2 linked regions of the Chlamydomonas reinhardtii genome follow. The protein of the gene in region 2 binds, or shares a complex with, the protein of the main gene of each other region. Each region holds a gene or a part of one and is shown on either strand. Other genes may lie near its edges. The genes, in order: CHLRE_10g450400v5 and CHLRE_10g422600v5. A codon is read from its position in the direction of its gene.

Region 1 (4,233 bases), about 3.5 Mb from region 2:
GACCTCCATTTTCCTCTCTCGCATAGTCCTTCATTGTGCTGCTAGGCGGTCAGTCAAGTTCTGCAGAGGTTCAAATGGCTTCGAGGCTGGTATTGCCGAGTGTCAACAACGTAAAACTTGATAGAGCCAAGTAGCTAAGCTATGGTATGATAGCAACGCCAGTCTGGGTGTGCATGGAGTCTTCCAGCCGAGGCCTGCACGATCGTGCAGTCCCCCCCTCCCCCCTTGGCGCCGTGGCGCAAGATGCCGCTTGGATTTACCCCTGACCCGACCGGCGCACACGAACAAGACTATGATATGACCCAAGCTGCATATGGGAATGCTGCAGGCCCAGACGCGCACCACCGTGCTCGCCCAGCCTCGCTGGCGTTCCAAGGCAATCGTTGTCGACGTGCGTTGCGGAACTAATGCGTACGTAGACCAGAGCGGAAAGGAAATCGTGTGGCCTCCATTCAAGTCGAAGCTTTTTCTGCAAGGCGTCAGCCCTGCGCCGCCATGCCCGTACAAAGTCGAAGCTTTTCCTGCAAGGCGGCAACCCTGCGCCGGCATGCCCGTACAAAGCTAGTCACATGTTCTTCCTGCTTGCGTCCACGCACGTATCCACATAAAGCCCCACACATACGTAAAAGCTCCTCACACATACCCCTCAAGTCCATTCTAAGCTAAATTCTAGTCAGACATAAGCCACTGCCCTTCTGCAAGAGCCACACCTCCTGCGGCACTCCGCCAATGTGGCACCTGAGCGCCCAGCGCACCCTGCCATCCGTAAGAGCTGCCGTCGCATACCGCCACCACGACCTCCACACCCACACCATGGACCATTTTGGCCCGCCCTCCGCCGCTCCAGACACGCTGCATCCCACAGCACGCCCGCACGCTTGCCATATCTTCCACCGCCACGAGCACGGCCGATTACGCGGTGGCGTTCAGGTCACGGCAGTAGGGCGCGCGGGGTGCCCCCGTCAGCGTGGTCTCGCCGTCCTTGGGCACCCACTTCTCGCCGCCGTGCACGGCGCCGGCGGGCTCCGCCTTCAAGCGGTACTGAGACCCAGGCTGCGATGAGGCAGGAAAAGGGGCAGCGAAGCGGTCGTTGGAGGGTTGCGGGTGTGCAGGGCAATGCACCCGGCCGCAATGCGACCCGTGTCGCGAGCCTCCATCCCCACAGTGCACGCACCGCAGACCTGTGCGGGCGCCCCGCGCTCATGCCCGGTTGCGGCCCCTCATCTCCCCCGCCCGCGCACCTTGGGCTTGCCTCCCTTCTTGATGGTGTCCAGGATGTTGACAATGTCCTTGGGCGTCAGGTCCTCGTAGTAGATGTACTCAAAGCCCGACACACCCTGCAGCCGTGCGGCAGCAGTGGTAGTTTAGATGCAAGCACACAAGGGGCGCGTTGGCAGCAGCGGTTTACGATAAGACTCGCGCACTGAATGGGCGGGGCAGGCCGGTTGTGCAATGACGGCCAGCCGACAAATCCTGGCTATAGCACGCGCCCAGCCGCTCCCACGCGCGACGTACACTACTCCATAAACCTAAACGAGCACATACCGTACTGCGCTGCAACCTCAGCCCCTAGCGTCGCTACCCCTCGCTATCCCGCACACCCAACACCCCGCACTCCCACGCGCTCCAACGCTCCTCCGCACCTTGGTGTAGTCGGCGATGGCCACCATGGGCGCGTTCACGCAAGCGCCCATGCACTCCATCTCGCCCAGTGTGAACAGCCCGTCCTGCGTGGTCTGGCCGATGCCGATGCCGAGGTGCTTGGTGATGGCCTCCTCAATCTTCTGGGAGCCCTGCAGCCTGTGTACGTGTGTGTGTTTAAGAATGAGAGGCGCAGATGGAGGGAAGCCCAGGTTCCGGGTGAGTGGGGTTGGGCGACGCGATGCGCATGTGCGTATGCAGTCGCGGGGGCTGGGCAAGGGCCCACTGGCACGGGCGTCCGGAGTCCAGCCGTGAAGGCCGAATATGGTTGGGGCCCCGGCATGCCAGCGCTCCGGCACGCCTGTGGATGGCGCTGCAGACCCCGCTGTTCGTAGGCGACACCGCACGCCCCGCGTGCCGGACGAACCCAGTCCCCGTGCTCTGTCTCCCTCCACGCCCGCCTTCCCTCCTCCCCCTTCACCTTCCTCGACGTGGCCCTGCACCGCCGCCGCTGTGCCCGGCTAACCCAGCAGCCCCTCCACTGGGAGGCGACACCCTTTGCTTACCTGCAAGGAGTGGTGCCGCAAATCTGCACGTGGTACTTGCCAATTTTCGTGCGGTTGAACATGGTGTAGAAGGTGGCCACTTCATACACGCGGATGGGCGCCATGTCCAGCAGCTTAGCCACACGGTTCATGGCCGCGAGGCTCAGCCACCCGCCGTTCTCCTGCTGCGTGACGTCCAGCACCGGAATGATGGCGCTCTGCTTGTAGTTCGGCGGGTACCGCGCGATGATATCGTTGACAACTTTCAGAGTAGCCTGCATGCACGGTGCGCACCAGGTCAAGCAGGTAGAGAGTGTTGGGCTGATGCACGCGTTTCCTTCTGTGTGTGCCTGACAGCCCTTCCACGCCTCTCTTTCGCTTGCCTCGCTAAACTCAAAGCTGGTCGCAGCATTGTTCTCTGGCGTGTCCTTGTGAATGTTGAAGATATCGGTCGAGTTGGTGGCAAAGTTGCACCGCTGCAGCAGCGAGCCTAGCGGCTGGACAGCGCGAGACGAGGTGCTAGCTGCCTGCTGCTGGCCAGTCGCGGCGAGGCGCCCTGCGAGGAGCAGGGCCCTAGACAGCATTTTGTCGCGAAATTGGTGCCTCTCCTGAGTCGCCTTGGCCGGCACTAGTCAAGCTCTTGCAAGCCCCTATGCACCTAGACTACGTTAACACACCTGTGCGACCTGGCGGCAAAGTGGCATCGTGGCACGACCGGTCGCCGGAATCGGCACGCCGTACCCGCGCGGCCACGGCCAGCCGCTTCTCACCCTCCCCCTTCCCCGCTATTGACGACAGCGGGGCAGTGCATTGCCACAATGGTGAAGAGTTCGAAAAGCATGATATCGGCACCAAGACAGGAGCGACATGTGTCGGCGTGCAGCGTGCGATGAGCAGGCGAAGCTGCGAAGGCCGGCAAGGGCCGTGTGCGGGGAGGTCCGGGGGGCGGATCCGCGCCCTGGAGGAGCAAACAAGGCGCCCTGCATCGCAGCATAGAGGAGCTGCGTCGGGCGCCCTGTTTGCTCCTCTAGTGCGCGGATCCGCCCTCTGACGTGAGGCGATAGGCGTGATAAGGGTAAGAAGTAAGAACGCGCCCTTGCAGGCAGGGACAGGCCGCGAGGGTTCCGTGGCAGTTCAGCGTGGATAACGCACGCATGTGCGGTCGGTCACTCAACCCGCTTGCTCAACAATCAACCCGCTGCAAGCGCAAGTCTTGATTCACGCGCGGAGGCGCGCGGTGACAGTGAATACTGACAGCTGACCTGTGCGCCAGCAGCGCTCGTCAGCGCTCGTCGACGGGGCGCTGCCGCTGGCGCTATCACCCCTTGAGACATTGTGTCGTATTGTCACAAGGTAAAAGGCAGGACTAAGAGGTATTTGCTCACGCACGACCAGCAAACGCTCGTCGGCCGGGTCGTGTCAGGTCGTGCGGAAGACCCGCGCCACTGTCAGAGCTCATCGTGACTATTACCTTTTCCTGTATTGCGAAGGTGGTTGCGTGCAGTGTCCTGTCCAGCACACGGTCCAAGGCCAAGGTTTGCTTGCGCAACTCTCGATCGCGCAGGTGTTAGCAAACTCAATCCCCCCCCTACACGTTCGATGCAACGTGTACAGTGGACACTCCTGGCTCAGCTTTCACTGCTGCGTATGTCCTTCACTCTGCCCGACGTCACGAAGCCCCCTGCCCATGTTCCCTTGCCACCTCATGCTTAAGAAGTGCTTCCCCTGCCAACACTGCAGCCAGTGCAGCGGCTGCCAACAGATTATCCCCCCCTGCACCCACTGCCAACCAAAACCCGAGCCCCCCCACCCCCCACCCCACACACATACACACACGTTCAAAGATGCGCAAGACTTCCAAAGCGCAAGTACACGCGTGAATCAACGGTTTATGTTACACGTTTGCCGAGTCGTGCTGCCCTCTAAAAGCAGGATGCGCTTGGTGCACCAGTGCCACGCACACAGTCATGTAGCCCAGGCTACAGCTGTGCCGCCATTTATGCGGCACCTGCTGCTCAATTTAAATGGCATACGGTAAACATGATTG
Region 2 (3,692 bases):
TGCTCCTCAAACTCAAAGTCGTGCTGAAGCAGCCATTCCAGCACCTCGATGCGCCCCTGCGCAGCTGCAGCCATGGTTACGACGTTGCCCCAGCAGCAGCCGGCCTCCAGCAGCGTTTCGCACGCCGCCACGTCGCCTGCAGCCGCAGCCGCCGCCATCACCTCGGCACGCAGGCTGCAGCCACAGTACGACAGCGCGGCCGCCAGGCTGGGGGCATGGCCGCTGCCGGCAGCCAGGCACAGCAGCTTCCGCCGCTGCAGTACGCGGAGCCCCCGCCAGGGCCACTCCGAACGGCCCCAGTAAAGCAGGAAAGCTTGTGCCGGCCAGGGTTCACCATCTGTCAGGCGAATGGTCTCATAGGTGCTGTGCAGGTTGCGGTAGGTGGCCCAGTCGACGAATTTGAGACATCCCGCCACTTCGCCGGGCGGCAAGTGGCTCGCGACCTCCAGCTGCAGCTCCGGCGTTAGTAGCGACCACTGGTCCATACTATACTATATTTTAATCGTTAAGACGCAGTAGATTGCGCGGTACTGACGTTCGAATTATAACGCGCGGTTCAGTGCTGGTGCAGCCTTTCTCAATGCTTAGGCTCAAGGCTTAGGCAGAAGTCCATGAACGGTCAAAGCCGATGAACTGGGACTGAAAAGGCTAGGTCGCTGGCGTAGTGGCGTAGGGTTTGGGGATCGTACCGGACCAGGTGTCGGGACTCCGGGAGGAACCAAGCAACCACCTCAGCACCTAGCAATCTATGAACCTTTACATGGCTATCCTCAAGCCACACTGCCGTCGCACTATACCCTGCTGCAATCTGTGTTGCCTCACGCTCATACCGACACAATCAGCCGCGGCCGGCTCGTGAAGCCATGCCGCCCGCATGCTTCAGTACACTAACTCGCCTTACACGCATGCCGGCATGCGCAAGCATTAAAGTCTACCTACAGTCACGACAAGCTACTACATTTGATCTCGTTGTTAAGCCACGCACCCATTGAAGGCGTTCGCCACAAACGCAACACCCCCACCCAGTGTGGTGCCTACACGCACCAACCCATCTCTTCTCCCACCTCCCACCTTGAGATGCGCTTCGTCCCCACCACGACTGCCAGGCAGGCGCTTGCACCGTCCCTGCTGCGCCACTGCACCGTCAGGCCGACACGGCCGATATGCCCACCGCACCCACCCACCAACGCCCGACGAAGGCCGCTACGCACATGCCTCCGTCGCCACTTTGCCGCTCATCCCCAACCGCTTCCACTCCCGCTGCTCTTGCCCGCCACACACGGCCCAAGCTCCATCGCCCTGAAACCGAGTCCACGTCTGCTGATCAGGAAGCAGAACTGCGCGGCTTTACGCGGTCGCGGCAAGCTTCTTCTTGCCGCCGGCGCTCTTGATGCGCTCCTCCATCTCGCCACGGAAGTGGCGGATCAGGCCCTGAATGGGGGAGCAGGGAGACATAGCAGTGAGCACACGGAGACAAACACGCGCGGTGAGAGCGAGTGCGCAGGAGACCACACGTGTGAAGTTAGGGCAGGAGGAGCCAAGCGCAGGTTAGCCGGCATGCGCGACCGCACAACATGGCCCGCCCGCCTCGTACAACACTCGGGACGTGCCTCGCTCCCACAACCCGCCTCGCCACCGCCCGATGATATGGCATTCCACAGATCGCAGCCGACCCCTGCTCCCGACCCGGCCTCCTCCAGCAGCCGCACCTGCACGGGCCACGCCGCGGCGTCGCCCAGCGCGCAGATGGTGTGTCCCTCGATCTGCTTGGTGATCTCCCACAGCATGTCGATCTCCTCCAGGCGGGCGTCACCCTGGAGACACGCACACCAGGGTGCACGACGCATGTACACATACTCAGGTGGTGGAAAGAGCAAACAGCATTCAGGGCGCATGCATGTGCACCATTAGGGAACGTGTGCAATGTAGCACCCCCTGGCGCGCACTTCCCTGCACTGTACTTGATAGTAGCACCCCTGCCTACACATACAGAGGTGCGCACGCAGGAGCCCCACAGGACCAGCCGCAGGAAGGCCCGCAGGACCCCCGCACATGCCCCCTCGCTCCCACCCCCCTCGCTCCCACCCCCCCTCGCTCCCACCCCCCCCTCCAGCACGCCGCTCCCACCTTCTTCATGCGCGTCATGATGTCGTACAGCCAGCCGGTGCCCTCGCGGCAGGGCGTGCACTGGCCGCACGACTCGTGCTTGTAGAAGTAGGACAGGCGCGCGATGGCGTCGATCACGTCCTGCGGCCGTGTGCGTGTGTGCGTGTATGCGGCGGGCGGACAGTCAGGTTCGAGGTGCGGCAGCAACAAACTGCACTGCACGCCCTGTCACCACAAACAAGCCACCGTAGATACTGCAGAGAGGGCCAAAGCAAGCCTTCAACTTGGCCACAGACGGCGCCTTCACGTTCCCCCACGCCCCACAGCCCCAACAGCGCCTCCCCAGCCCCTCCCGCCAGCAGTACAGTAACTCCGCATCCCTCCACATCCGTCCACATCCCACACGGCACTCACGGTGGACTTGTCCATGACGATGACGGCGGCGGTGCCCAGGCCCGACTGCGCCTCCTTGAGCGCGTCGAAGTCCATCAGCACGCCGTCGCAGATCTGGGGGGGGGGGGCGGGGGTTACAATCATGACGAATCAAGAAAAAGCGGAGTTGTAGCCAGGCACCCGGGCAGGGAGCGCAGGAGGAGGGGCATGTGGAGGGAGCGCGAGGTACAGCACCTAAGCGCGTCCAGGCGTCCTACGACCCCTTTCTGTGTACCGTAATCATACCCCTTGTTGTGTACCGTAGTCTTACGGAAACCCCCCTCCGCCCATGCAACCACGGCCGCCGCCAGCCCCAACGCGGCCGCGGCCTCCTCACCTTCTTGGGCAGCAGCGGCACGGAGCTGCCTCCGGGGATGATGGCCAGCAGGTTGTCCCAGCCGCCGCGCACACCGCCTGCAGGCGGGAGAGGAGGCGGTGGCCACCCATGGGCGGGTGGGTGCGTGGGTGGAAGGAGCGCCAGAGCGTTGGGCGAATGCCGCGACCGGACACACCCCGGCCACCAGCAGCAGTCCAGCACCATGGTCGGCGACAAACGAAATCACACACACCTTCCCTTCGTGCATCCTACACGCAACATGCAACGTAAACCGCCACCTCCGGCATCCTCCCTGCCCCTCCTCTCACCCGCGTGGCGCTCGATGAGCTCCTTGAGCGGAATGGACATCTCCTCCTCCACCGTCACCGGCCGGTTCACGTGGCCGCTGATGCAGAACAGCTTGGTGCCGGCGTTGTTCTTGCGGCCAAAAGAGCTGAACCACTCGGGGCCGCGGCGCAGAATGGTGGGGCTCACCTGCAAAAATGTCCCAGGCCACGCAGCACATGCACACGCGCATTGAGGACATTTTTCGCCCTGGGCGGGGGCACTCGCAACCTCGCCTTTCCCTCATGATGCATACTCGCAGGCAACCTACCAGCAGCATCCCGCATGCCCCGGCTCCCTGCTTCCCCCACTCACCGCAACGGTCTCCACATTGGTCACGGTGGTGGGGCAGCCGTACAGGCCCACACCCGCGGGGAACGGGGGCTTGAGGCGGGGCTTGCCCTGCTTGCCTGTGGGGAACAGGACAAGGCGGCGGCGGCGGCGGCGGAGTGCACCACACAGACACATAGCGGTTGACAAACAGTACAGCCAC

What was found.
Region 1: the proteins of CHLRE_10g422600v5 (region 2) and CHLRE_10g450400v5 are in contact, whole or in part, in a cryo-EM structure (PDB 9F5X), measured with the Chlamydomonas reinhardtii proteins. Residues at the interface, in XP_001702590.1 of Chlamydomonas reinhardtii: Asp58, Glu59, Arg61, Phe63, Gln64, Asn65, Ile66, Tyr67, Arg69, His70, Met78, Ser79, Arg80, Gly81, Tyr84, Met85, Glu88, Ile89, Lys92, Trp96, Gln100, Tyr133, Glu142, Pro143, Gly144, Thr145, Cys146, Arg149, Glu150, Arg153; in XP_001698508.1 of Chlamydomonas reinhardtii: Thr42 (codon at 2,647), Arg79 (codon at 2,428), Tyr80 (codon at 2,425), Pro81 (codon at 2,422), Tyr84 (codon at 2,413), Gln86 (codon at 2,407), Ser87 (codon at 2,404), Ile89 (codon at 2,398), Ile90 (codon at 2,395), Pro91 (codon at 2,392), Asp94 (codon at 2,383), Val95 (codon at 2,380), Glu125 (codon at 2,290), Val126 (codon at 2,287), Phe129 (codon at 2,278), Tyr130 (codon at 2,275), Thr131 (codon at 2,272), Met132 (codon at 2,269), Phe133 (codon at 2,266), Gly147 (codon at 2,224), Thr148 (codon at 2,221), Thr149 (codon at 2,218), Pro150 (codon at 2,215), Arg152 (codon at 2,209), Leu153 (codon at 1,799), Gln154 (codon at 1,796), Glu184 (codon at 1,706), Met185 (codon at 1,703), Glu186 (codon at 1,700), Cys187 (codon at 1,697).

Annotation. Positions count from the first base shown.
Region 1 is NC_057013.1:4,251,183-4,255,415, forward strand, and holds CHLRE_10g450400v5 (uncharacterized protein), read right to left. Parts: upstream 2,849-4,233; 5' UTR 2,771-2,848; coding exon 2,570-2,770; intron 2,462-2,569; coding exon 2,208-2,461; intron 1,801-2,207; coding exon 1,644-1,800; intron 1,338-1,643; coding exon 1,242-1,337; intron 1,054-1,241; coding exon 913-1,053; 3' UTR 294-912; downstream 1-293. Other genes in the region: CHLRE_10g450350v5 (uncharacterized protein), read right to left, coding at 1-34. UniProt on the Arabidopsis thaliana protein: Core subunit of the mitochondrial membrane respiratory chain NADH dehydrogenase (Complex I) that is believed to belong to the minimal assembly required for catalysis. Complex I functions in the transfer of electrons from NADH to the respiratory chain.
Region 2 is NC_057013.1:715,064-718,755, forward strand, and holds the end of CHLRE_10g422600v5 (uncharacterized protein), read right to left. Parts: intron 3,610-3,692; coding exon 3,515-3,609; intron 3,350-3,514; coding exon 3,184-3,349; intron 2,953-3,183; coding exon 2,876-2,952; intron 2,614-2,875; coding exon 2,521-2,613; intron 2,248-2,520; coding exon 2,128-2,247; intron 1,815-2,127; coding exon 1,710-1,814; intron 1,432-1,709; coding exon 1,348-1,431; 3' UTR 745-1,347; downstream 1-744. Other genes in the region: CHLRE_10g422550v5 (uncharacterized protein), read right to left, coding at 1-485. UniProt on the Arabidopsis thaliana protein: Core subunit of the mitochondrial membrane respiratory chain NADH dehydrogenase (Complex I) that is believed to belong to the minimal assembly required for catalysis. Complex I functions in the transfer of electrons from NADH to the respiratory chain.